7 linked regions of the Macaca fascicularis genome follow. The main gene of each other region encodes a partner of the protein of the gene in region 3 in a complex. Links are inferred from orthologs where the notes say so. Each region holds a gene or a part of one and is shown on either strand. Other genes may lie near its edges.

Region 1 (3,500 bases), on a different chromosome or scaffold from region 3:
GGACTGGCTCCGTGAGTGTGTGTGGCTTCAAGGGTAGCAAAAGATTTTTGTTTCTCCCTACGTGTCAGCTCTTCTATTACCTCTCCAGATGCCTCAAATCCTATCTTCCTGTGGATCATGAATACCATATGCTTTCAGAAATGGTCGTGAACATGCCAACTGTCTCTCTGCAGGGTAGTAACTCATGTTTACATCACTCAACAGTGAGGGGAGAAAGGAAGGGGCAGACTTGGTCATCTTCATTCCACTCTCTCTGCTTTTCTGGAGCCACCTCCAGCACTGCTTCCCCATTGAGCCTGGCTGAGATAGCAATAGCAACCCACCTGGACAGGGAAATAGCGCCGACCCCAGCCCTGACCTCGTGGAATCAAGTGTGTGAGAAAAGGGGCGGCTCACGCCTTTCCAGGTGGTGTGTAGATTTTGTCTCGGTTCCAGAGGATCCCTAGCTTTCCTGTCCCTCCCAAATAATTATCCCATCTCTTAGTTTACCTCTTGGCGTCCACAGCCCCACCTCTCTCCAGTGTGGCTCGTGAGGAGGAGAATGGCTGGGGTAGGCACAAAGTGTGACCTCAGGGTCCCAACTCCCACGTCCCACAGATGGTAAGGCTGGGAGCAGGGCCAGCTCACCTTGTTCAGTCATCTGCCGCTGCTCACAGATCCGCAGCACCTTGAGGGCTTTCTGCTCAGTGTTCAGAGGTATCCGCTCAATGTGCAGCTCCAGGGAGACTCGGCCCAGCTTGGGGCAGTAATCAAAGTAATCCACCCCCAGCTGCCACAGGCTGCAAAGGTTCAAGGAAGACAGACATGAGGTGCTGCCTCGTGGCTCTGGGGACTGGCACCTGCAGCTCCCTTTCACTGACCCTTCTGTAGCCTGCAGGGAGCCAACCTGGAGAGAACAGTCCAAGCTCCAGTGGCACCCGCATGCTGAAGAGCACACGGCACAGCCTGCACCCGTGGGAGCCTTCCTACCTGGGATGAGCGAACAGTCCAGAGGCGTACTCCAGCAGGAGGAACTCTCTCATGTTGGAACCGAAACTGGAATAAAACATACCAAAAGACCAAGACTCCGGGCCTGCCCTGTTCAGGGCCCCCTTCCTCAGCCCAACCTCCCTTCCAGGCATTCAGTTCACCCCACCCTCGAGGGCTCGGTGGTAAGAGGAGGAGGATTGGTGCGTCCAGGCCACTTACTAGAGGTTGTGTGACTGGAGGAGCTTGCAGTGGTCCAGCAGGTCTGTCAGGTGGGCCACAAACCACCAGTTGCTCAGGGCGATGCTGCAGATTCAGATACCAAAGCAAGAAGGAGAGTCAGGGCAGAGGCCGTGTCCCACAAGAGCGGGGGTGAGCAAGAACCCCACATGTCCTATCCCTCAGAGAGATGGGGCCGGGTGTGATGGTAGCTCATGCCCATGATCCCAGTACTTTGGGAGGCCAAGGCAGGCGGATCACCTGAGCCCAAGAATTTAAGACTAGCCTGGCCGGGCGCGGTGGCTCAAGCCTGTAATCCCAGCACTTTGGGAGGCCGAGACGGGCGGATCACTAGGTCAGGAGATCGAGACCATCCTGGCGAACACGGTGAAACCCCGTCTCTACTAAAAAATACAAAAAACTAGCCGGGCGAGGCGGCGGGCGCCTGTAGTCCCAGCTACTCGGGAGGCTGAGGCAGGAGAATGGCGTAAACCCGGGGGGCGGAGTTTGCAGTGAGCTGAGATCCGGCCACTGCACTCCAGCCCGGGCGACAGAGCCAGACTCCGTCTCAAAAAAAAAAAAAAAAAAAAAAAAAAAAAAAAGACTAGCCTGGGCAAAATGGCAAAACCCCATCTCTAAAAATATAAAAATTAGCCAGGTGTGGTGGAACACACCTGTAATCCCAGCTACTCGAGAAGCTGGGGTGGGAGGATTGCTTGAGCCTGGGAAGCAGAGGCTGCAATAGGCCGAGATCACACCACTGCACTCCAACTTGGGTGAGAGAGCACAAGCATATCTCAAAAAAAAAAAAAAAAAAAAAAAATTGCTCAGAAAGTAGTTGAGACGGAGTCTTGCTCTGTCACCCAGGTGGGAGTGCACTGGTGAGATCTCGACTCACTGCAACCTCTACCTCCCGGGTTCAAGCAATTCTCATGCCTCAGCCTCCCCAGTAGCTGAGGTTACAGGCATGCGCTGCCACACCCAGCCAGAAAGCAGCTTTTGAATGTTCTCACCACACGCACACCAAAAGGGTCACTATGTGAGGTGACGGATGTGCTCACTAGCTTAATTTCACAATGTACACGTCTATCAAAACATGTTGTACACCTTGGCTGGGCACAGTGGCTCACTCCTGTAATCCCAACATTTTGGGAGGCCGAGGTGGATGGATCACTCGAGCTCAGGAGTTTGAGACCAGCCTGGCCAACATGGCAAAACCCCATCTCCACCAAAAATACAAAAGTTAGCTGGGCGTGGTGGCGAGTGCCTGTGGTCCCAGCTACTCAGAAGGCTGAGGCAGAAGATGGCTTGAGCCCAGGAGGCAGAGGTTGCAGTGAGCTGAGATCGCACCACTGCACTCCAGCCTGAGCGACAGGACAAGACACTGTCTTTAAAACAAACAAACAAAAAAAGTTGTATACCTTAAATACATACTACTTTGTTAATCACACCTCAATAAAGCTGGGGAAAAAAATGGGGAGTGGGCTGGCCCAGGGGAAAGGACACCTCAGCTTCTCAAAACAGCTGTTGCTACCCAGATTTATAGCTGATGGTTATGTCAAAACCATTAGAGAAGCCAGTGAAAAGGCTATAGGGGACCCAGGCTAAGGGAACCAAAGCCTTAGCCTGCATGAAAGTCACCCGCCAGTGGAAGGAAGGGCTGAGACGGTGCCCGGTGTCTTCCCAAAGGATCCAGCAGCCTCCCAGGCTGGAAGGCAGCAAGCACTGAGGGCCTCTGCCCACAATACAACTCAAGTGACGGAGACCAGACCTAGTGCTGCACAAGGCCACCACGGTCTCCCCGCAGGGCCCAGCAGGCCTGAACCATACAGTTAGGTCTTAGATCTCTCTCTCTCACACACACACACACACACACACACACACACACACACACTCTCTCTCTCTCTGAAGGATTCTGAGTGAGCAGCTGAGACGCAGAGCAGGCGGGCAACCTCAACATTCAAGGCAGGAAAGGCCTAATTATCAGCTCCGAAGTAGCCCTCTACTGAAAACGAAAGAACGCTGTGGAGTTGGGAAGACCAGCTACGATGAAGGTGACCCCCCTGGGCAACCATAGCCCCAAATGAGCTGTTTGTCCTGTACTAAGGTCACTGTCAACTCCTTACCCAGGCCCCATCTTGCTTGTTGGGGGCCCTGGAGTAATCAAAGCTCCAGAGCCTCTGCCTGCTATTCTGGAAATGGGGTGTGAGGTTTGCAAACACTGCTGCACCCTGCATCCAAGGTTGTGTGCTGGGCCAAAAAACAAGTCAGAAGATTCTAGATTCAGCAGACATTGAACTGGAACTCTTCTTGGT
Region 2 (4,270 bases), on a different chromosome or scaffold from region 3:
ACCATAGGTCTTAGAACTCTACAATCTCTATATTTTTTCCTTACAACTCTAAGATGTTTGATTTTTTAAAACTAATTTAAAGGAAGCACATAACACAGAATGCAATCTCCACATATTTTAAGTGTACAGTTCAGCAGTGTTAAGCATATTCACATTGTGCAACAGATCTTCAAAGCTTTTTTCATCTTGCAAAATAGAAACTCTATGCCCCCTAAACAACTCCCCATTTTCCCCTTTCCCAGCTCCTGGCAACCACCATTCTACTTTCTGTTTCTATGAGTTTGACTACTTCAGATACCTCATATAAGTGGAATCATGCAGTATTTGTGTCTTGTGACTGGCTTATTTCACTTAGTATGTCCTCAAGATTCATCCACATTGTTTTATGTGACAGGATTTCCTTCCTTTTTAAGGCTGCATAAAGATATTATGTATATGCATGTATACGTTATGTATATGCATATACATTATGTATACTGCATGTATATGACACATTTCCTTTACCCACTCAACCCGACATTCATTACTTGATGGAAAAAGAGTTCCTTCCCTACCACGTTTAGTTTTTTAAAAAAACCACCTCCTGACTCTTGGCTTTTAAAACTCTTGGTTTTACCGCTAACACGGTAAAACCCCGTCTCTACTAAAAATACCAAAAAAAATTAGCCCGGCGCGGTGGTGGGCGCCTGTAGTCCCAACCACTCCGGAGGCTGAGGCCGGACATTCCTTGAACCCGGGAGGCGGAGCTTGCAGTGAGTGGCGATCGCGCCACTGCACTCCAGCCTGGGCGACAGAGCGAGACTCCGTCTCAAAATAATAATAATAATAATAAGCCAGGCTAGCCAAGCATGGTGGCAGGCGCCTGTAATCCCAGTTACTTCGAAGGCTGAGGCAGGAGAATTGCTCGAACCCGGGAGGCTGAGGCTGCAGTGAGCCGAGATCATGCTACTGCACTCCAGCCTGGGTGACAGGGTGAGACTCCATCTCAAAAAGAGAAAAAAAAGAAAGGAAAATAAATGTATATACCCTGCGCGCTGGCTCACACCTGTAAACCTACCACTTTGGGAGGCAGAGGCAGAAGGATAGCGTGAGGACAGCAGTTCGAGATCAGCCTAGACAACATGGAGAAACCCTGCGTCTACTAAAAATACAAAAATTAGCCCAGCGTGGTGGCACGTGCCTGTAATTCCAGCTACTCGGGAGGCTGAGGCAGGAGAATTGCTTGAACCTGGGAGGCAGAGGTTGCAGCGAGCCGGGATCGCATCACTGCACTCCAGCCTGGGAGGCAGAGCAAGACCCCATCTCAAAAACAAAAAATTAAAAAATAAAATAAAATAGAGAAATTATATATAACCACACGTATAACACGCAACCCTTGCTTTTAAGCATATCTAATTGGGAAGGAAGGACAGCAATATTAAGCATGTAACTTCATTACTAACCTTCTAATATATGTCTAATATCATAAAATGAATTAGGTTGTGCTTAAGTAGTAGCACTAAGTAGTTTAAGCACCTAAGACTGGCTTAGAATCATTAGATGTTTAACTCTGGGGACATTACGTAACTATTTGAAGTCTCTATTTCCAAATCTGTAAAATGGTGTATTTAACAGCAACTACTCCAAAGGGCAACTGAATGAGATAAGCACAATAATAAGCGTAAAGCTGGGATATAGTATGTGCTCAGTAAGCATAGCTTTCATTATAATTTATCACAGCGTTTCTGAAATGATTTGATTTACAAAGCAGATTTAGACAACTTTTCGAGAATATCAGTCCTGTGGAAAATAGAACCAATACTTTAAAAAGTGACTGTAAAGAAACAGAAAATGCACCCAGGAAAGAGTCCTTTTAAGTGAGATTCTTACAAGCATTTATCACACAAATGTACTCTTAATCTTGCCCGCGAAGTTCTGAGCATCTCAACCGAGGCATTAACATTCTAAGCGCCAAATTCTTTCCCCGGACTGCTCTGCCCATGAAGGACTTTCTGCATCCTTGCTCCGCCTACTATGCGACAGCAGCGTACCCCAGGAAATATGACAATCAAAATGCACTCACTCATTCAGACACCACTGGAGGGCGGTACCGCCCGAATTGAGAATCACCAAAAGAGGATCCACCCCAAATCTTCCAGAGTTCCTTTACTACCTTCTAGATTCAATTCCACCCCGAAAATCTACAGCTCCAAAGGTACAAGAATATCCAGGGCCTAACCACACCCGCAGAGTTAGGAGACGTCCGCTGAAGCCCCGCCACCCTCTTCCTGACCACCTTTCAGATGGCCGACTTCATCATCGGGAGTATTCGCTGCCTGCAAGATCTCCCACCCTCTAAGAACACCGGCGCCTACTTTCAGCCTCTGCTCGTGGCTGGAAAATATCTCGGGTCCTTTGGCTTCACTGCTGAAGACCTGACGCTATTCCGGCGAAATCTGGACCACAGACGCACAGTGGAACTTGGGGGTAAGGGGGCCAGGCTTAGCCCTGGGCTGTGAGAGATTAAACACCTGGGTCCAGCGGCCCAAGCCTCACTGCCTCGACTCTCAAACGCCAACTCAAGGGCTAGAGCCGCAGCACCGACGCGCGCCATTCAAACTGGGGAGGGGTGAGACTCTAGGCCCAGAATTAGGGAAAAGGAGGCACCGCACATAAGTTGGGTCCTAGACTCCGAGAAACCCCACGGTCTCGTCTCTCCCTGAAGACCTGGTCATCGCTCAGCTCAATCATCTCCTTTCTGTCTGGCCACACTTACCCGAATTTACCGCCAAAGGCGTCGCCATCTTAGAGGCGCACTAACAGAGCCCTTCTGCCGCATGGAGGCCCCAGGAAGGGGTGAGGCTGCCCTGAGTGAAGCCTGAACAAAAAGGCACCAGGCTGTCCCCTCCACGCTGGGCCGTCCCAGGCGTACAGAAGGCTCCAGAATCTGCTCTGGGTCACAAGTATCAATTTTCATTGGGATTATTCCCATTCAAATAAGGCAAGGGCAACCACTTCAGAGACACGAGGTCCTCGATCGGACGTTCATCGTGTAGTGCATCCTGGGACTTGTAGTTTCTTTCTAATGATGAATTGGTTAAGTGGAGAGGAAAAAGTAAAGTGGAATAGAAAAAGATATTCTGAGAGTAGTTATTAAAATGACGCCCACTTATGAGATTATAAAAGCCGTAAATTCAAATCATTAGCTCCGTTTCAAGTTCAATCTTCCTTACAGTGGGGAGTGGAGTAAGGTGTGAAGTGTCTACACCTCAAAAAGTCATTGACCAGTTAAAAACTAAGTTTCCGTGACATTTCAATTTACCAAGTATGTTGTGTCAACATAGTTGCGTAGAGCGAAACAAATCATAATTTTTAACTATAAAATTTTCAAATGGATACAAAATTAGCATAGTGAACAGGCAGCATCAATAACGTGGCCAATTTCCCACCACGGCAGCCCCAACCCACCCTTACCACCCCAGCACCTTATCCTCCCCACCCCCCGCCCCCGATTATTTTGAAACAAATTCCAGACATATCGTTTCATAATCACCAAGTATGTTTCTACCTGAGCAACCAAAGTAGCTGAACTCTCTTTCCTCAGTTGTTAAATTTTAGTTTACTGATTTTCAAACTAAAATATAATCATTGCTATTTACAGCTATGTATTAAGAATTTTACAGCCATTATTTCATTTAATCTCTGCAAACCATTCTATTGGGAAAATGATCTGATTATAGCTATGTCAGCGATGTTCCATGTGCCTTACAATCTCATTGTATCAACTCTCCATCATTCCCATTTCACTGTTGGAAATTAGAATCAAATAATTTAGACAAAAGCACAGAGTATGTTAACAATATCCAGAACTGGCTGGGTGCGATGGCTCATGCCTGTAATACCAGCACTTTGGGAGGCCAAGGTGGGCGGATCACTTAAGGTCAGGTGTTTGAGACCAGCCTGGGCAGCATGGTGAAACCCCGTCTCTACTAAAAATATAAAAATTAGCCAGGCGTGGCGGCACGCACCTGTAACCCCCAGCTGTTCGGGAGGCTGAGGCAGGAGAATCCCTTGAACCTCGGAGGTGGAGGTTGCAGTGAGCTGAGATCATACCACTGCACTCCAGCCTAGGCAACAGAGTGAGTGAGACTCCATTTCAAACAAACAAACAAAAAAGAATATCCAGAACAGAATATTTATTATTTTGGACAAATAATATCAAGTGACACAATGTACATTAAGTTTGAAACACAAAAGTCACTGGTGATTTTTTTCCAGAAGTCATTGTTAT
Region 3 (3,500 bases):
TGCAGTGCTGGAGCTGATTGATTCCCAACAGCAAGATCGATACTGGTGCCCACCCCTGCTGCATCGTGCCGCCATTGCCTTTTTGCATGCTCTGTGGCAGGACCGGAGGGACAGTGCCATGCTGGTCCTCCGAACCAAGTAAGTCTGCCTCTGGGAGTAGTTTCATTGTTCTGGTCTATAAAATGGGAGTAACAATAGCTCTTATACCAGAGGTTTGTTGCGACGGTTCACTGGGAATAAGTGCTTAGTGCCTGGTTCAATACCTGGGAGTTTTATACTAATTCTCTTTCTAATGCTGCTGCCAGCATTAAGGATCTTTAAATATTAAGCACCTTGAAGGTTCAACTGCTTTTGTGTTCCTGCCTTTTGCTAACTAGCTACATCAAAACTCATTATTCTTGAGAAACAGTAGATTCAGGAGAGAGGGGCTTGCTGAAGTCACTGGATGGAATGAAACATTCTGTTCTATTGGACCTGCTGGCACAAAGGGAAGGAGTGTTAAAAGGCTAATTGGGAGTCTGCCGTCTTATTTCCCTCCCTCCTCTTCTGTGGGGCTTTTGGGAATCTACAGTGCAAGGAATCTTGAAGAGTTTTTGTTGATCAACTCTATAGTGCACAAGTGTGATTCATAAGAGGAAAATGTAATTTTATCTATGGAAACCTTTCATTTATACAGGACTAACTGACTTATCAGACACATATTAGGATTGAGACTGGTAAAATATGAAGTGACCACCAAAGGGAGCTTGAGAGAGGAGAAAAGGACTGTGAGAGGGAAAAAGTATGATTTCAAACATTTATTTCCTTTTTAGACCCAAGTTTTGGGAAAATTTAACCAGTCCACTGTTTGGAACCCTTTCTCCTCCCTCTGAAACATCAGAGGTAAGCTGTGGAAGAGGGCAGGATGGTGGCTACAAGTCCCTGGGAGGAAAGGCTATGGGCTGTGAGATGGGGCCGTAGACAATGATACCTCCCCTAATTAAACAACAGAATGTTCTCTTCACTAGAAACGTCTTTCTCAGGGAAGTGCCTGGTTTCTGTCCCTTTGATGTCTTGCTTTGGGAAGGAAAGTGGTTTGCGTTGGTGGCTCTGTGGTCTTCTCTGTTCAGTTGGAGACATTGTGGACCTGACGCTTCTGCTCTTGCAAGTCAGGCCATTCACATTCAACAGGGGTTGTACTAACTTGTTCTGCAAGTGTTGGGCTTCTGCTCTGTTCACCGTTGGATATACTGGGGGAGATTAGTGATCAGAGATGTGATCATTGCCTGTTCTGCTCTCTCTCTCCACAGCCCAGCATCCTGGAAACCTGTGCCCTCATCATGAAGATAATTTGCTTGGAGATATACTATGTAGTTAAGTGAGTACTTTCCCCTCTTGAGATTTTAACTGAAGGTTGGAGGAGTAGGAGTTGGTGACCTACCACTGGGTGCATGGCTGGAAAGAGCCAAGGCAGAGGAGAGAACTGGTTTGGAACCATTCATGGAGGCTAGTGTGCTGTGTCCCTGGCCAATCCACCGATGGCATTTATGATTGTCAGAAAGAGTTATTGTGAAACAAACTCCATGCAACTCAGATTTTATGGAGGAGGAATCCTGGAAAGGCCTCAGCCTAACCCACACATTGGAGGTGTCCTGGAGCTGGTCTGCCTTTAAGCCCATGCGAGGTTGTTTTCTCTGCCTCAACAAGGGTCTGTACCCATTATATTCCCATCTACTTTCAAAACCTAACTGGAGGTTTTTTTCTTGACACTGTAGGGGTTCATTAGACCAGTCATTAAAAGATACACTCAAGAAATTTTCCATCGAGAAACGCTTTGCCTACTGGTCAGGGTATGTCAAGTCATTGGCAGTTCACGTGGCCGAAACAGAAGGCAGCAGCTGCACCTCCTTGTTAGAGTACCAGATGCTGGTGTCCGCCTGGAGGATGCTTCTCATCATTGCCACCACTCATGTAAGACCCTTTTGGGGAGAGTTTTCACTTTGATACCTTACCAATGATGTGTTGAGATACCTAGCAGATATAGCTCCTTGTGAGAAAGAATTAATCAGGGTTTATCCCTGAAAGCTAAACTGTAATAGGTTCTATGCTGATAAATTGGGGCTGTGGGGTATTTGAGGGTGTTGGGTCCAAGAGACCATTAAGAGGAGTGCAGAGAAGTGATCTGAAATCCTTTCAGAGTTCCTGAAGCCTCCTGTACCTCCCTTGGGCCTTGGCTGGGTCTTAACTGCTCCCTGGCTGCAAATGCCTCTTATACAAAGGCATAACTGCCTTCTTGTGCTGTGTACCTTGTAGACGCTAGGTCAATAAGTACTTGTTGACTAGTCAGCAGGAAGCTGTGACAGCTGCAGCAGTACCTTCTCTAAAAAGCAGTTTGTCATTGGTTCTAGAAACTGCATTTCGGCCGGGCGCGGTGGCTCAAGCCTGTAATCCCAGCACTTTGGGAGGCTGAGACGGGCGGATCATGAGGTCAGGAGATCGAGACCATCCTGGCTAACCCGGTGAAACTCCGTCTCTACTAAAAAATACAAAAAACTAGCCGGGCGAGGTGGCGGGCGCCTGTAGTCCCAGCTACTCGGGAGGCTGAGGCAGGAGAATGGCGGGAACCCGGGAGGCGGAGCTTGCAGTGAGCTGAGATCTGGCCACTGCACTCCAGCCTGGGCGACAGAGCGAGACTCCGTCTCAAAAAAAAAAAAAAAAAAAAAAAAAAAAAAGAAACTGCATTTCTTGGTCTTAGAAAAAGAACAAAGACCATTGTCTCTGTACTCTGTCTACTGGGAGTTGGTTTTGAGAGAGAGATAACATCTGGAAGAAATGCATTGTTCTTGGCTTTTTTGTGGTTTGACACCATCATACTGTATCATAAGGACTTGGTATTGATTCCTTGGGGTATCCAGATTAACTTTTTTTTTAGATTAACTTTTTTTTTTTGACTTCATGAACAACTTCAGCTTGATAGATGCCTCCTTGTTCCAAGCACCTCCTACATCTGTGAGATTTGTTTCCTAGTGCCAGACTGCCCACATGCCTGGAGCTTTGAGCCTGGAAGGGGCAGGTTTGTGGCTACTGTTGCTGTGGCATAGTGGTTTTGGACTCCTAAGACTCCATAACACACTTAAAGGCTCACCTGTCTTTGAGAATGGTTAATTCCCCAGGGTATAAGCTTTATGTCACCTGCCTTTTAGGCCCTAGTTAGGCAGCAGTTCTTGAATTGTAGCTCTCAAAAATCTCACCATCCTCTTTCCCCCAAGGAAACCTATCTGACTCTCTCTCTCTCTGACCTGTCTACCTATGCAAAAGAAAAGAAAAAAAAAAGAGAAAGAAACCTAAGTCCAAGATGTTGTTCACCCGTTCATTCTCTTAATGGCATTAGTGGAATGCTTCCAGGCATTGGGATACAGCAGTGAATAAGGCAGATAAGATCTTTGATCGCATTGAGAGTGCCCTATGATGGAGGAGGTAAATTATAAACAAATTCACCACTTAAAAATATGGTTTCAGAT
Region 4 (4,052 bases), on a different chromosome or scaffold from region 3:
GTAGTTGTGATTATTTCATCACACATATGTCTCCCTCTCTAGCGGCAAATTTCCTATATGGTAAGGTCCACAGATGCTCAACTCTTGAGTCTTCAGCATTAAGTCTGGCACATAATAGGTACCAGATACATGTTTGTTGAATTAAAGTGGCCTGTTCCCTGAACACACCTTGTGAAAGATCTTCCTTCTAACTCCATATTCTTTAAATAAACTTTTTCATGAGGAGTGACCCCTCTCACCTTCAGATCTTTGCTCCAACCTGTCCCTCTCCTTGGCACATCCATTAACCTTATTTTCTATGTTAGTCCATCAAGAAGCTGGTTCAGACCCTCAGACTCACTACATCTCCAGCTGCTCACACTGCAGGGGCTTTGCACTTGCTCTACCCCCTACCAGCAGTGCTCTCAGATAGTTCAATGACTTGCTCATTCATTTCAAGCAGGTCTCTATTCAAATATCCCTGTCCTCCTTTAAGAAACAGCCCTGACATCACACTTCCTATCTGTGCTTTTATTGCTAGTGGTACCCTCCATAGGCATATCAGTTCAATGAGGGCAGGCCTGTCTCATTCACCACTGCATCCCCATGCCTGCCAGAGTGCCAGTAACATTCATCTAGTTCATATTTTTTGAGCACCTACTGTGTGCCAGACCTAGGTGCTAGGAACACATCAGGGAACAAAACAGATAAAAATCTCCTCACATTCTACAGGGGGAGGACAACAATACACAAGAAAAATACATAAAATATAAGTGCTAAGAACAACTAAAGCAATGAAGGGAGGTGGGAAATGGGGAAAGCCTCACTAGGTACCTCCCTAGTAAAGACCTGGAAGAAGTGAGTGCAAACTACATGGATATTAACTTGCAAGCACAAAGGCCCTAGGCCAAAGCATGTCTAACGTGTGAAAGGAGAGGGAGCAGAAAATGAGACTGAGAAAGTAACAGTGGGTCAGATTATGTAAAGCCTTATAGCTCACTGTAAAGGGGTTAGTCTATCATATTAATGAGATGGGGACCCATTGGAGGGATTTTTTTTTTTTTTAAGTAAAGGAATGATACAATCTGACAGCCTGTGTTTTAAAAAGATCCCTCTAGCTGCTGTGCAAAAAATAGGGGCCAGGACAGAAGCAGGAAGACCAAATGGGAAACGATTTCAATAATCCAAACCAGAGGTGGTGACTTGGCCCAGGGTGGCAAGTACTATTTGTGGCGTTAATCACAGAGGGCTGGGTGTGGTGGCCCACACCTGTAATTTCAACACTTTCGTGGGAGGCTGAAACGGCAGATCACTTGAGGCCAGGAGTTCGAGACCAGCCTGGCCAACATGGTGAAATCCCGTCTCTACTAAAAATACAAAACTTAGCCAGGCGAGGTGGCACACGCCTGTAGTCCCAGCTACTTGGGAGTCCGAGGCAGGAGCATCACTTGAGCCTGGGAAGCAGAGGTTGCAGTGACACGATGACACGAGATCGCACCACTGCACTACAGCCTGAGCAACCGAGGGAGACTGTCTCAAAAGAAAAAAAAAAAAAAAGAAAGAAAACAAAAAGAAAGAGAGCAGTCAACGATGGCTCAAAGGTTATTAGCCAGAGTCTTTCCTATTATTGAGATGAAAGAAAGGGCAACAGGAGCAGTTTGGGGAGGGTAATGAAGGGGAGCTTCCTAGCCCTCTCTTGGCATGTTTAATTTGAGTTGCCTATCATCCATCTCAGCGGAGATATTAAGTGGGTGGCTGGATAAAGGTCAGGGGTGAGGCCAGCGATGGAGATATAAATAAGGAACCTGTTAGCCTCTGATATGTAGGTATTTAATGCTATGAGATCACCATCAATGAAAATAAAAATATTGCAAACACAAATGCACAAAGGAAGATTTAAAGAAAAAAAATAAAGAAGAAAAGCTAGGATGACCGAGGATACCCTCCCACATCCCCCGGAAAGAATACAAAAAGGTGATCCTCGCTTTTGCTGAAAGACAACTCGGTCAAAACAAAGATTAAATAAATAAAACCTCCTTCTCACGTCTAGCAGAAGGGCAAACCCAGACCAGAGACTCTGTCAACGGGTCTTTCACACTTTCACCAAGGACCCATGGGGCCGGCCCCATAATTTTTCCAAAAGACAGCCAGTGAACTTGGGCTTCCCCTTTGCAGAGGACGGGATGGAGTAAGCACAGAGAAGGGTGGGCCACCCCTGGGTTCCAACCACTAGCATCCTCTTGGATGTACAAAAGGTAAGCCAAGGGTTGGGAGAAGTTGCACTCGCCCCAAAGACCCCTTCCCTCGCAGGGCAATGCCTCTCTAGAGGGTATGTCCACGAGGGGTAGGCGAGCAGGCAGGGCACGGTCAGGAAGGTAAGCAGGCAGGCATTGTGGCGCAGGCTTAGGAAGGGTGGGCTCGCGGGGCACTAGGTGGAGGTGAGGGCAGGGGCGTGGCGCGAGGGCGCCACAGTGGGGAAGGGGGAGTCGGGAGGCCTAGGTTCTGCATTCAGAAAGTGGGCGAATGAAAGGCACACCCAGGGGTGCAGCCCGACTCTTTCTGGGGCGGCTCGACAACGCGTTGTGTCGCCGGCGTCAGGCGTGCCCGGCTGCCATGAGGAGAACGGGAAGTGTGAGCTGCGGGGCTCCGAGCGTGGGTACGGCGCTCCACCCAGTCACGGGGTCCTGGGTTCAAGGACAAGCCCAGGGTCGGAAGAACGCGACCAGACACACCCTTACCTTGTACTACAGCCGTCTCCGCCGCTCAGGTGCCGGCTTGAGGACGCGGCTGCCGCTTCTCGCGCCGCTCTACCCCGCTTCCTGATTGGCCAAGGCCGGCTGCTCCCAGAAGCCCTCGCGCGGCGCGCCGCCAAATGAACTTTATGGAGACCCGTGGGGAAGGACAAGAACAGGGGCGGGGCCGGGGGCGGGACGAAGGCAGGGCCTTGGGCCAAACCGTCACCCCTGGACCACAGGCAGCCGCAGACCTCACCTTTCCCACTTGGTTAGAGTCGGCTCTGCCGGGAGAAAGCGATTCCAGAATTCCCTAAGTTAAAGGAATTTCTTACTCCTTGAGCGCCATCCAAGGGCCAAGCCCTAGTCTAGGAGCTGGGAACACAGTGGCGACCACGACAGACAAGATCGCTGCCCTCACTGAGTTCCCAGGCTGGCAGGGGAAACAAAATATAATAAATAAGTAACTGCAGTTCACAAGAAGAGCTATGAAGAAAAAACAGGGTAATGGGAGAGAGAATGCTTGGATGTTGAAGGGAGGCCTTTCTGAGGTGGTGACATGTTGAGCTGAATAAAGAAGGATGAGAAAGGATGGGGCTTGCAAAGTTCCGGCTTCAAAGAATTCCAAGCAGAGGGAACAAGAGTGAAGTCTCCAGGGGAAGCCAGCTTAGTGTTTGGAGACTAGAAAGAAGGGGTGTGTGGCTGGAAGATGGTGAGCAGGGACAAGTGGGGTCAGACTCATCCATAGACTGGATGGCTTACACACAACAGAAATTTATTTCTCACAGTTCTAGAAGCTGGGAAGCCCTAGATTAAAGCACCCGCAGATTCAGTGTCTGCTGAGGGCCTGCCTCCTAATTCATAAATAGCACTTGATATGGTTTGGCTCTGTGTCCTCACCCAAATCTCACCTTGAATTATAATCCCCATAATCTCCACATGTCAAGGGTGAGACCAGGTGGAGGTAACCAGATCATGGGGGGCAGTTTCTGGCATGCTGTTCTCGCGATAGTAAGTCTCATGGGATCTGGTGGTTTCATAAGCGTCTGGCATTTCACCTGCTTGCACTCACTGTCTCTCTTGCCGCCCTGTGAGCAGGTGCCTTCCACCATAATTGTAAGTTTCCTGAGGACTCCCCAACCACGCGGAACTGTGAGTCAATTAAACCTCGTTTCTTTTTAAATGACCTGGTCTCAGGTATTTCTTCACAGCAGCATGAGAACAGACTAATATAGCACTCTTCTCCCTGTAACCACACACAGAAGAAGGGTGAGGGGATCTCTCCAATATTTCTTTTATAAGGGCTCTAATTCCATTCATGAGGGCTTCACTCTTATGGCC
Region 5 (3,986 bases), on a different chromosome or scaffold from region 3:
AACTGCAATCATTATTATTAGTGTTTATTGATATTGTAACCAAATACTATACTTATCATGTTACAATAAATGTTAGTTGCTATTATAATTATCATTATTATTAAATGCTTTAAAAGCAAAAAAGTCTTACAAGGCTGTCGAAATGAGCTAGGAGTTCGAGGGATAACCTGGTTTCTTGGTGTAGTATTACCGAAACTTTCATCTTGAGATGCCTGAACTGTACAATGAGTTAAGAAAAGTTTTCCATGTAGAAAAGATTAAAATGAGAATTAACCATCTTTTTACTATACAAATTATGTGAATACATTTTTCAAGAACAAGGTATTTTACGGCTACCATTTTTCAATGCAAAGGGTAAATAACCCATTCCTTCTGCCATTTAAATTCTCAGACGTCAGTCTTAGATAGCTACACACTGAACTAAATGTTTTTAGTCAGTTTTCAAATAATAAAAATCTCAGCAGAAGCTAACCACAATATGATAGTCAGCAGTAAGAAATATCTTTATTTTTAAGGAAATATAATCTTATTAAATTTTTGCATTATATTTACCTAATGACAGCTCTGTGGAGTGAAAAAAATTTCTACAGGATTTTATTATAGCTAACATTTAATACTCTTATAAAAAGAAAATTCTATAACACTGATTCCAAACATGTTACAATTTTTATAATGATGCTTAAATCGCAAAGGATACTTAAAACTCTTTTTTGAGCACTCTGTTTCCGTGCAGTCCGTGTCACCTCTGCCTCCCGGATTACAGGGGATGATATATCTCCAAAGCCACTCCTAAAGTAGTATAATCAAGCTTATATAAGTGAAACAAGAATATAGCATTTGTAAAGAATTTTATCATCACAGCTGGAGTAAAGGACCCTGAGTAAGTTAAGATATAGGTCATTCCAGTAGCCAAGTCTTGGATCTTTTGCTGAGAATGCACTCGTGGCTCCAAATCCTGCTTATTCTTCAAAGTCTTACTCAAATGTTACCTGCACAAAGATTTCTCTGACTTTCTAGTACTCACTATGTTATTTTCTCCTAAAGAATTATTTCAACACTTGGAATCTATATTATAACACTGTTTTAGGTAATTGCTTCATAAAAGTGAATCTTATTTCCCTGGTTGGATTGAGAAGTTACCTAATTGCAGGAATTCTCTCTTCAAAGATTTTCTGCAGAATCCAAAATGCTTTAAACCATGGGTACTATTAAAAAACAAACAACAACAACCAGACAACAACCACCACCAGACAACAACAACAACCAGAGCTTGTGAGATACAACCACAACAACAAACAGAGCTTGTGAGATAGAAGAGTAAGTAAAAAAATTCTGGTAAATTGTAGCAAAATGACCCTTCAAGTTATTTCAACCAAAGAGGTCTCCTGTCCCATCACAACACTCTGTCAGTTTCACTCAAAGGTCTAGAAACTAAATTGTGTGGACTAAAAGGCCTGTGTTTAAGACAAGAATCTAATATGCTTTTCCTCCACTTAAAACCTTCAGATATTCCTTCAGCAGGAAAGTATGGGAAACAACCCCATAGAAAAAATTTTAAATGTTTAATAATTAAAATTAAAAAACAAAACAAACAAAAAACCTACAGATAGCTCTCTCTGGTTTATAGAAGTGCAAATTTCCTAAAATGATATTTACAATGTGACCCCAGTTTAGGCGTTCAGTCTTCTATTCAGCCACAAACATCACTCTAAACATATACTGCATGTGACCACTGAGCTACATGTACTTTTGTTTTTCATATACTAGCACCTTTGAATATGTTTCTTTTACAAAGACCTACATTTGCCCCCTTGGGCACCTGGTCAACAACTAATTACTCCTCAAAGAGCCTCAGGTAGGCTGGAGACACACAGAGGCAGGTTGGCAATTTGGTTCTTGTATTTATTAGCTTCCTAACTTTCAGCAAATTCCTTAACCTCTTTTAGTCTCAGTATTATATATGAAAAAGGGATAACAGTACCTATCCTCATAGGATTGCTCTTGTTCTGAAGATTAAATAAACTGATAATATATATTCAAAGCCAACAATGGCAGTCATATAGTAGGTACTCAATGTTTGGAGTACGAATAATGTACTATTATTATGCAAAGACCAGCTAGAAAGTTACCTTCTTTGAGAGGTCTTTCTGATAGAGTGACAGGGAGACTTAATCGCCCCCAAACACTTATCACTTTATACCGCTTGGTTGTCTCCACTACACAACTAATTCCCCGAGGTGAAGGATCTTGAATAACTGATCTTTGTTGCAGGCGGCTAGCACAGTACCCAGATCACAGAGGGAACTCAGTATCTGATGCTAGCACGTAATCAGAAAGTCTGAGCTGAGATCCCAGTATCTTCACTGACTGGCTTTGTGATCACAGGCTGGTCACTTAGCATTTCGAACGCCGGGCTACCTACCCCGCCCACCCCAGGAGCGATCAGTGTTGCTGCCCCAAAGCGCCGAATAGATCGCAGAACGTAGTGGGAATGTAGGGGACCATTATGATCCGTACCCCACCCGACGCAGGCCAAGCGGCCTTTCCCCATTTGTAGCCAAATTTCCCGGCATGGGGAAGGAGTCTTAGGGGAAGCACCCGGGACCTCCTTGGCTTCTTCTGGGAGTCTAGTTTCACCTATTTCGTTTCGCCAACAGGCGAGAGGGGCAAGGCTTTGGGTTCAGCTGCCATCCTCAGAACTGACCTGTCCATGGCTAAAGCCTTTTCCACACAGAATAAATGTCGGCTCCAGTTTAGCTACCGCGTTTTAGCCTTCCCGCTCTCCGGAAGCAAGCCCTTCGACCCGGAAGCAGTCTCTCCCTAAAATAGCCCCACAGAAAAGGGGTAGGGGAGAAGAAACGACGTTCCCATCTAGCGCATGGGCGACTTCAGCCTACAGGTGCCGGCCCGGTGGGCGCAGGCGCAAAAGCTTGCCAATGTGTGCCTGGCTGGACCAGACAGGGCCGGGGGCGGGACCTGGTTGCGTTTAGCCCAGACGCCTTGCGGCCGCTTTGCCTGACCAACGTCTGTGGGCGTGGAACAGGCCCTGGGTTCTCCTACTGGGAAAAATGAAGCATGTTGATAGTCTGGAAAAACGTGAAGTCATTTCCTGGTATTCTCTGTCAGAAAGCGCCTGTTCTTGGAATTCAGATGCGTGGGCTCTGCCCCACACCTCGGGAATCTCTTATCTCTCTCCCTACACTCAGTCCTTTGTTCTCTAGCCCCCTGCAGTTTTTGAAACTGTTTTCCATAACTGCTATTTGTTCTTTACTTGGTATTCTTTTCTATTAAGGAGAAACAGTTCACCTGTATTAAAAAGTAGAAAGGCAAGCGTAAAACATGATGGTATTGCCCTCTATTTCAAAGTGCCGTCTAGGCAAAAAGTGGTATATTTTGGTCTTGAAGGAGTCAGTCACATTTTTGTTTCTGTTTTTGTTTTTTCCAGTTTGAAAGTAGCGACTGGCTATTAACTGACCAGATTACAAAAATAACGTTAGATGCTTCAGTTTATCCGTTTAATAAGCCTGTTGATATGGTCTTTTCTGTTGCTGGCATTTGTACTTTTTAGTAATACAGAATAGGTAGTCATTCTCCCTCGTGGAGAAGATAATTTGAAGGATCACAGGAACTTGAAGAGTTTTTCAACAGCATAGATCTCATGAATCAGATTCTCCAGTCAGATGATGCCATATTTATCAAGAAATCTATCAATCAAAGAGTTATCTGTTAAGGTAATTTGTTTATTGGTTTTGCCATAACCAATTTGTAGATCAGTTCATTTATTGATTTCAGGTTCAGGTACTCTATGCGATGTATGGTTCCACAATAGTCAGCATGTTAACTGAAGCCTTGAGTTTAGCAGAGGTGCCATGGAAGATCTGGGGAAAGTGAAGAGGTTTTGACAGACTTTTGGGCTCACACCATTGATACCTTAAGGCAAGTGACAATTTGGATTTCACAGGTATATAGAAATTGCCAGCTTTTCT
Region 6 (4,045 bases), on a different chromosome or scaffold from region 3:
TCTTACCCTGTTTCCCAAGCTGGAGTGCAGTGGCATGATCAGATCCTCCCGCCTCAGCCTCCTGAGTGGTTAAGATGAAAGGCACATGCCACCCCGCCTGGCTAATTTTTAAAAATCAGGCCGGCCATGGTGGCTCCGCCTGTAATCCCAGCAAGTTGGGAGGCCGAGAATGGGGCACTGCTTGAGTTCGGCAGTCCAAGACCAGCCTGGGCAACCAGGCAAAACCCCATCTCTACAAAAACAAATAGAAAAATCAGCTGGGCATGGTGGCGCATACCTGTAATTGCAGCTACTTGGGAGGCTGAGGTGGGAGGGTCACTTGAACCCAGGAGGCGGAGACTGCAGTGAGCCATGATTGCACCACTGCACTCCAGCCTGGACAATGGAGCCACCAGACTGTCTCTCAAAAAGAAAAGAAAAAAAAACAGAAAGAAAAAAGAAAAAAAATTGTAGAAATGGGGTCTTGAACTCCTGGCCTCAAGAGATCCTCCCACCTCAGCCCCCCAAAGTGCTGGGATTACAGGTGTGAGCCACTGTGCCCAGCCAAAATATTTAACTAAATGAAATTTGTATCTCTAACATAAAGTCTCTCTTTTGAGCCTTAGACCTGTAAATTTCAATGCCTACTTGACATTTCCAAAGGGCTGCTCCCCAGGTACTTCAAATTTACTATGTCCAACAGAATTATTCATATCTTTCCAAAATCCATCTTCTATGGATCTCTGTAAATGGCAACCCCTCCCCACTCACATCTGGTTAGTCACATGAGACACCAGGGAGCTGTCCTTGTTCTCTCCTTTTCTTTTACCATCCCTTACCCCATATTCAATCCACCACCAAGTCCTAGTGAATCTATCTTCCAAAGGTATCTTGAATCCATCTACTTTTCTATTTCTATTCATTCCCACAATTGAACCACCAGCAACCCTTACTTGGGCCATCATAAAAGCAAACTTTTTTTTGCATTATACCCATCTAATCCAAATCCACTTTCCACAAAGTAGACTGAGATCTTCTAAAAATACATTTTAAAAAATTTAGATTCAGGGGTACATGTGCAGCTTTGTTACATGAGTATATTGTGTATATATTCCTATCTACATGAGGTTTGGGCTTCTAATGATCCTGCCGCCCAAGTTGTGAACACAGTAACTGATAGGTTTTCCAACCTCTGCTCCCCCGCTCCTTTTGGAATCCCCAGTGTTAACTGTTCCCATCCAAAAATGCAATTTTGATGTTAGTAACTCTTTAAAAACCTATTCCATTATTACTCAATGTACTTAGGATAAAATCCAAAAATCCTTAAAAATGGCCTAAGGGTCCCTCATGGTCCGAGTCCTGCCTACCTCTCCAGCCTCAGTATCTCACATTACTTTCTGTTTTACCCACTGCACTTAAGCCACACAGATCTTTGGTCAGTTCCAAACCTGCCACATTCTTTCCACTTTGTGACCTTTGCATATGGTGATCCTGCTTGCTGGACTCCTCTCTGTCCACTCCCCATACCTGGCTAACCTCGTGTCCTTTAGACCTCAGGGTAACTGTGAAAGCCTTTTCCTGCCCCACTAATAACATTTGGTCCTCTCATTAGCCTCTCGTAACCCCTGTATTTTTCCTCTAGGGCAAGTTTTCCTCCACAAAATTTCCCCATGAAAAGTGAGTCCACAACTATTCTGACATTGCTACAACGTCTTGCATGATGAAGATGGCAGTTTTGTTCATTTCGTCCTGGTACCTAGCACAATGCCTGACATATTGAAGCTCGAACATATTTGTTCAATGAAGGAAGCTGTAAAGCACTATAAAAACATAATGGGTTCATGTTTAAAACTAGTCTTATGGGCTTTATACCCCTAAGCTACATTCCCTCTGCTTTTGGTGTTGCTTGGTGTGTGTGTGTGTATTGGTGGGGGGGGAGGGTAAACTCTTCTAGAACTGTGTCTCAGTTTTCCCGACTCTGATACGAACTGAAAAAAAAAAACTTTCTCTTTCCCTAAGTGTCGATTACCGCTTCTAGAATAGCACTTTGGGAACAGCAACTAAAATTTACACACCAAACCCTACCTTCCAGGGGAGTTTGGCGAACCACAGCACTTACCAATGAATGAACCTGTTTCTGGTTACGGAGAACAACTTGCCACTCTCCACATAGTAAAAGCCTCCCGCGCTCTCACTGTATTTTACGGCGCCAGCCACGGCATTTGCGGTCCCTGCAAAATGAACGTGGTCAGCCTGCACACGCGTCTTCTGAGAAATGACAGGGACTAAGGGACCTGATAAAGCAGAGGGTGACAGACTGACAACCCATACAAAGAAAAGAGGAAAACGTCGGACATCAAGGAATCTCTGATCCCGGGGCTGGAGGCATGTGGACTCAGGAGGATGAACCCAGCAGTCAGAGACCCTAGGACCCATGAGAGGAGCCCGAGGGGACAGATCGGATCGCGCCCTCCCTGGCCACTTCCGTACCAATGCTGCAGACTGTGAATTCCCGAAAGTGCCTCGGCCTTTCGCGCTCAGCCCCGCTTAGCTCCACGAAGCTTCGTTCCAGGGATCCCGCCGCCGCCATCTTCCCGCCGTCGCCGCGATGCCCGACGGGACAAAGGCAGGGCCGCGCGGCCGCCGTCACTTCCGGGGGCGGGGCGGGCGGAGCTGCGGACGGGTGAAGCATCCCGGGAGCAGAAAGGGGGCTCCGGTCCTTCGTTGCGGGGCTTCCACCGGGAGAATGAGGATGGGCAGCGGGGAATCCAGAAGAGAAGCGGGCAGGGGAGGCCGACTGTATCTGCTGGAATCTTCGAGTGGCCGGCTGGAACGCCTCCGGAGGGCGGTGCCCTTTTCTCAGCGGCCGCAGGGCAGGGGGCGGGACCGGGTTTGTTTCTGTTTCCAAAACGCGGGGCTCAGTCTCCCAGGAGGGGCGAGGTCCGGGGAGGTCCGGCCTTTGGGCGTCCTCTGCCGGATCCCGGGTGTTTGGTCACCTCTCCCTCGGTTAGGGTGTCCGTCTGTAAATCTTTGCCGATCCTCCCTTCGCTCTTCAGTGGCACTTGGGTTGGCGGGGTGAGGAAGGGGTAGTGAGGGAAGGGCCTTTGGTTTTGGTCTTTTTTCCCCCCAAGAGACTGTATTCGTGTATTCCTGTATAATGAAACGTAATGTGGTAAACCTTGATGCTGCCACCTGCTGAGGTTACCTGAGTGCTACTCACTTGGATACGTGAAAAGAATTTGCCATTCATTCCAACCGTGATCTTGCACTTGGCTGTCAATGCAATAAGGGCCCATAGTGGATGTTTAGAAGATATTGTGGGGGTAGATGTTCAAAATCGGGGAAAATGCTAATCTCCAGCAGGGAAGGTTTTGTTCCTTAGTGATAGCCAACGCTTGTTGGTCACTTCTATTACCAGTGACCACAGCCATTCCCTGTCATTCTCCGTTTCATTTATCTGGTTCCGACCATCATTTCCTATCTTTCCACTTCACTCCCTCTGGGACACCAACTTTGGCAGTGCAGCCCCCTCATTCTACCTGAAATCCATTGTTATACAAGCTCTTCACTGTCCCTCACTTCTTTGGTGTTTCTTCCTTATCCTGAATACCATTAAATTACTTCATTGCCTAACTCTTCATCAGTAAAAACAACTTCGATTACATTCAAATCTGTAGCTGAACGTGCCTGAAGAAAACTATACACCAAGGTCGGGTGTGGTGGCTCACGCCTGTAATCCCAGCACTTTGGGAGTCCAAGACTTGAGGATCACTTGAGGTCAGGAGTTCAAGACCAGCCTGGCCAACATGGTGAAACCCGGCCTCTACGAAAAACAGAAAAATTAGCCGGGCGCAGTGGCTCACGCCTGTAATCCTAGCACTCTGGGAGGCCGAGGTGGGCAGATCACGAGGTAAGGAGTTCCAGACCCGCCTGGCCAACATGGTGAAACAGTGAGATACAAAAAATTAGCCGGGCATGGTAATGCACGCCTGTAATCCCAGCTACTCGGGAGGCTGAGGCAGGAGAATCACTTGAACCCGGGAGGCAGAGGTTGCAGTGAGCCTAG
Region 7 (2,915 bases), on a different chromosome or scaffold from region 3:
ATTTGCTCATATCTTCAGCTTGACAAATCAAAATAAGATCTGGAATAGTACTCATGCTACTCAATTGATTCCTCTTGAAAACAGCCCTGTGTGAAGTAACATCAGGGATCATTATCCCCTTTACAAAAGGGAATCCGACTTAGAAAGGTGAAGCGTCACTCAAGGTTTAAAAACAAAACCACTACAGTAGAAGAGCGAGGAGGCTTTGAATGGTATATTCTATTGGGCAATTTGAGACCTGGAAATCTATATGTATAAATATATGTACAGCAATCAGTATTAATCAATAATCAACTCCCTTGCCCCTAAATCTCCCCTTATAAATCTAGCCTTTGGGCTAATCTATCTCTCAGTTTAGCACCAAATAGTTCTCTCTTTAACCCAAGGCCTGTCTCCATTTAGAAGGCAAATTCAAAAACAGGCTAAATCAAACAAGGCCATCATAAAGATCCTCAGGGCAAGAAGGCTCAAAAATACAAAGGGAAAGCCAATACCAGGAATGCTATAAACATTTTATTTATTTATTTTTTAAGAAAGTAACTTCAGAAAAAGAGGAAAATATCTAGATCATTTATTTATACATATATATATTTTTTAATAAAAACCTTTACATAATCTTCATGCATAAAGACCCAGGTGTGGCCATATTGCCTGAGACAGCCCTAACACCAGCTATCTCATGCCATTACCTGGGGCTCCCTATAGCTGTCAGCAGTGTAGCAAAGGCCCTCTGCCTGCCCCTAACGCCCAACTCCATGCCTGCCTCAGTCATGGTTTGCTTCTGGAAGGGATGATGGAGGGTGGAAAATGCTTTAGAGCTAACATGGGATGAACAGGGAGGGTTACCCAACCTGCCATTTTTAATCCAAACTCTTCAGGCAAATCCAGACAGACTCTCAGCAAGATGACTGAAAACCAGGGACCAAACCAAATTCTGGGAGCTTCCCATAGACATGTCACATATGACCAAGGGCTCCTGCACATAGTAGTAGCAAAGGTATGGTGTTCATGGAACACTAAAGGCAGGAACAAAAGAAGCTCTGAAGATCAATCCCTCCATGGCAGGCATTCACTTCTGCCCTAAGTGTGTCAGAAAGATCCCATTCTGTTTCCTAACTCAGGCCAACCCTCCTCTGCCTCCAAAATTCAGTGTTAACTAACCAATTACTTAAGAGACGGATCCCTCTTCCTTCTGTGGATAGTTCACCTGTTAAGGATCCATTACTACCTGTCTCACTCCTCCTAAGGAGTCCTAGCATAAAAGGGCCAGGGTAGGAGTAGGGTAGCTGGTTGGCATGGAGGGTCACAAGATCCAGAATGGCTAGGGGTGAAAAAGGATTCCCTGGTTCTTTGGGGGATTCTGCCAAAGGAGCTTTATTGACCATTTATTAAAAGGAAAAACACTGGTCTTGAGGATGGTAAAAAGAGAATTGTCTCCTCTTCTGGGTTCCAGAAGCCCTTATGCTATGTTTAGTATTAAGAAAAGCCCTGAACAACTGGAGGATGCTGCTTGTGGCAGCAGGGAAGGAGGGCAGATGCCATAGCCAACCCAGAGAATGGCAAACAGTGCCAATCCAAACAAGGCAGGGAACCTCTGTGTGGTGAGTGTGAACGGGCATGTGAGTGTGATGCAAAGAGTCTGGGGCTCACAGGCTCCCAACAGCGAGTTCTCGCAGATAGGACTGGGTAAGGCTGCGCAGTTCGTCCATGGCATAGTCCTCAGGCATGGGGAGCCGGCCAATGTGGGGAGCCAAGAGGCGCAAAGGGACTCGCTGAGGGTCTGGTGTTGAGTCGGAGGTTCTATCAGGAGCATGATGCAGACTCAGCACCACCCGCAGCAGGTTGGCTACACGTTTGGCCATGTCTAGAGAGAAAAACTAGAGTTAAGCACTGAGCATGGGTCTAGAGAACGGTGGCAGGCACTGAGGGTGGGGTGTAAGATAAAAACAGGAAGCAAGAAGGCAGAAAAAGTGAGGAGATTAGAGGCTTACCTGACTGAGCTAGGCGATCTTTAGCATTGTAACACTGAATCTGCTCTATGCGACTGCACAGTGAAGTCACTTTGATGTGTAACTGCTCCAGGTCATAACCTGAGCAATCCACCTACAAAGAAGCAGAGAAGTCAATTAATCCAAGGGGAGTTCCTATCACTCAACACCACCTATAGACTCTATACAAAACCTTGAAACAACAGTGAGGTGAGGGAGGGGAAAATCCAAGAAGATGACACAGGGTCAAGCCACCACCATCTAGTGGAGGACAAGGCACTAATTATGCAGTAATAAAGAGGAAGGTAACATAGTGTACACAGCCTTGGACTAGGAAAGTCTTGAGATCCCGAACGATACAGCAAGCTTTAATAATACAGCAAGCTTTAATAATACAGCACCAAAAATCAAGATAAACTGGGTTCAGAGAGATGGTATGACTTCTTAAGAGCACACAGGAAGTAAAAAATGCAGCCTGAACCAACATTTAATTTAGGTCCCCTGACTCCAAGTTTATAGCCTTTTCTTTTTTTTTTTTTTTTTTTGAGACGGAGTCTCGCTCTGTCACCCAGGCTGGAGTGCAGTGGCGGGATCTCAGCTCACTGCAAGCTCTGCCTCCCGGGTTCACGCCATTCTCCTGCCTCAGCCTCCCAAGTAGCTGGGACTACAGGCGCCTGCCACCTCGCCCGGCTAAGTTTTTGTATTTTTAGTAGAGACGGGGTTTCACTGTGTTAGCCAGGATGGTCTCGATCTCCTGACCTCGTGATCCGCCCGTCTCGGCCTCCCAAAGTGCTGGGATTACAGGCTTGAGCCACCGCGCCTGGCCTAGCCTTTTCTAAAACACCAAAAAAGCTGGGTGCAGGCAGCAGGAGGATCAAGAGCAAGACAAATTATTTGCTCTCATGAAACTGACAGAAACTAAATAAG

What was found.
Region 1: NUP188 (region 3) and NUP85 share a complex: the UniProt entries of both Homo sapiens proteins name them as parts of the nuclear pore complex. The link is inferred for Macaca fascicularis from reciprocal best matches to the Homo sapiens genes NUP188 and NUP85.
Region 2: NUP188 (region 3) and NUP205 share a complex: the UniProt entries of both Homo sapiens proteins name them as parts of the nuclear pore complex. The link is inferred for Macaca fascicularis from reciprocal best matches to the Homo sapiens genes NUP188 and NUP205.
Region 4: NUP188 (region 3) and NUP93 share a complex: the UniProt entries of both Homo sapiens proteins name them as parts of the nuclear pore complex. The link is inferred for Macaca fascicularis from reciprocal best matches to the Homo sapiens genes NUP188 and NUP93.
Region 5: NUP188 (region 3) and NUP107 share a complex: the UniProt entries of both Homo sapiens proteins name them as parts of the nuclear pore complex. The link is inferred for Macaca fascicularis from reciprocal best matches to the Homo sapiens genes NUP188 and NUP107.
Region 6: NUP188 (region 3) and NUP160 share a complex: the UniProt entries of both Homo sapiens proteins name them as parts of the nuclear pore complex. The link is inferred for Macaca fascicularis from reciprocal best matches to the Homo sapiens genes NUP188 and NUP160.
Region 7: NUP188 (region 3) and NUP98 share a complex: the UniProt entries of both Homo sapiens proteins name them as parts of the nuclear pore complex. The link is inferred for Macaca fascicularis from reciprocal best matches to the Homo sapiens genes NUP188 and NUP98.

Annotation. Positions count from the first base shown.
Region 1 is NC_088390.1:81,621,188-81,624,687, reverse strand, and holds part of NUP85 (nuclear pore complex protein Nup85), read right to left. Parts: intron 1,273-3,500; coding exon 1,189-1,272; intron 1,063-1,188; exon of another isoform or gene 1,036-1,062; coding exon 970-1,035; coding exon of another isoform or gene 871-969; intron 780-870; coding exon 628-779; intron 1-627. UniProt on the Homo sapiens protein: Essential component of the nuclear pore complex (NPC) that seems to be required for NPC assembly and maintenance. As part of the NPC Nup107-160 subcomplex plays a role in RNA export and in tethering NUP96/Nup98 and NUP153 to the nucleus.
Region 2 is NC_088377.1:177,231,740-177,236,009, reverse strand, and holds the start of NUP205 (nuclear pore complex protein Nup205), read right to left. Parts: upstream 2,801-4,270; 5' UTR 2,784-2,800; coding exon 2,756-2,783; intron 1-2,755. UniProt on the Homo sapiens protein: Plays a role in the nuclear pore complex (NPC) assembly and/or maintenance. May anchor NUP62 and other nucleoporins, but not NUP153 and TPR, to the NPC.
Region 3 is NC_088389.1:14,949,179-14,952,678, reverse strand, and holds part of NUP188 (nucleoporin NUP188), read left to right. Parts: coding exon 1-138; intron 139-812; coding exon 813-882; intron 883-1,289; coding exon 1,290-1,357; intron 1,358-1,754; coding exon 1,755-1,950; intron 1,951-3,500. UniProt on the Homo sapiens protein: Component of the nuclear pore complex (NPC), a complex required for the trafficking across the nuclear envelope. Required for proper protein transport into the nucleus.
Region 4 is NC_088394.1:52,837,994-52,842,045, reverse strand, and holds the start of NUP93 (nuclear pore complex protein Nup93), read right to left. Parts: upstream 2,801-4,052; 5' UTR 2,718-2,800; intron 1-2,717. UniProt on the Homo sapiens protein: Plays a role in the nuclear pore complex (NPC) assembly and/or maintenance. May anchor nucleoporins, but not NUP153 and TPR, to the NPC. During renal development, regulates podocyte migration and proliferation through SMAD4 signaling.
Region 5 is NC_088385.1:75,448,107-75,452,092, reverse strand, and holds the start of NUP107 (nuclear pore complex protein Nup107), read right to left. Parts: upstream 2,801-3,986; 5' UTR 2,713-2,800; coding exon 2,705-2,712; intron 790-2,704; coding exon 698-789; intron 218-697; coding exon 131-217; intron 1-130. UniProt on the Homo sapiens protein: Plays a role in the nuclear pore complex (NPC) assembly and/or maintenance. Required for the assembly of peripheral proteins into the NPC. May anchor NUP62 to the NPC. Involved in nephrogenesis.
Region 6 is NC_088388.1:17,983,618-17,987,662, reverse strand, and holds the start of NUP160 (nuclear pore complex protein Nup160), read right to left. Parts: upstream 2,801-4,045; 5' UTR 2,672-2,800; coding exon 2,470-2,671; intron 2,211-2,469; coding exon 2,099-2,210; intron 1-2,098. UniProt on the Homo sapiens protein: Functions as a component of the nuclear pore complex (NPC). Involved in poly(A)+ RNA transport.
Region 7 is NC_088388.1:70,596,318-70,599,232, reverse strand, and holds the end of NUP98 (nuclear pore complex protein Nup98-Nup96), read right to left. Parts: intron 2,104-2,915; coding exon 1,992-2,103; intron 1,865-1,991; coding exon 1,647-1,864; 3' UTR 501-1,646; downstream 1-500. UniProt on the Homo sapiens protein: Plays a role in the nuclear pore complex (NPC) assembly and/or maintenance. NUP98 and NUP96 are involved in the bidirectional transport across the NPC. May anchor NUP153 and TPR to the NPC.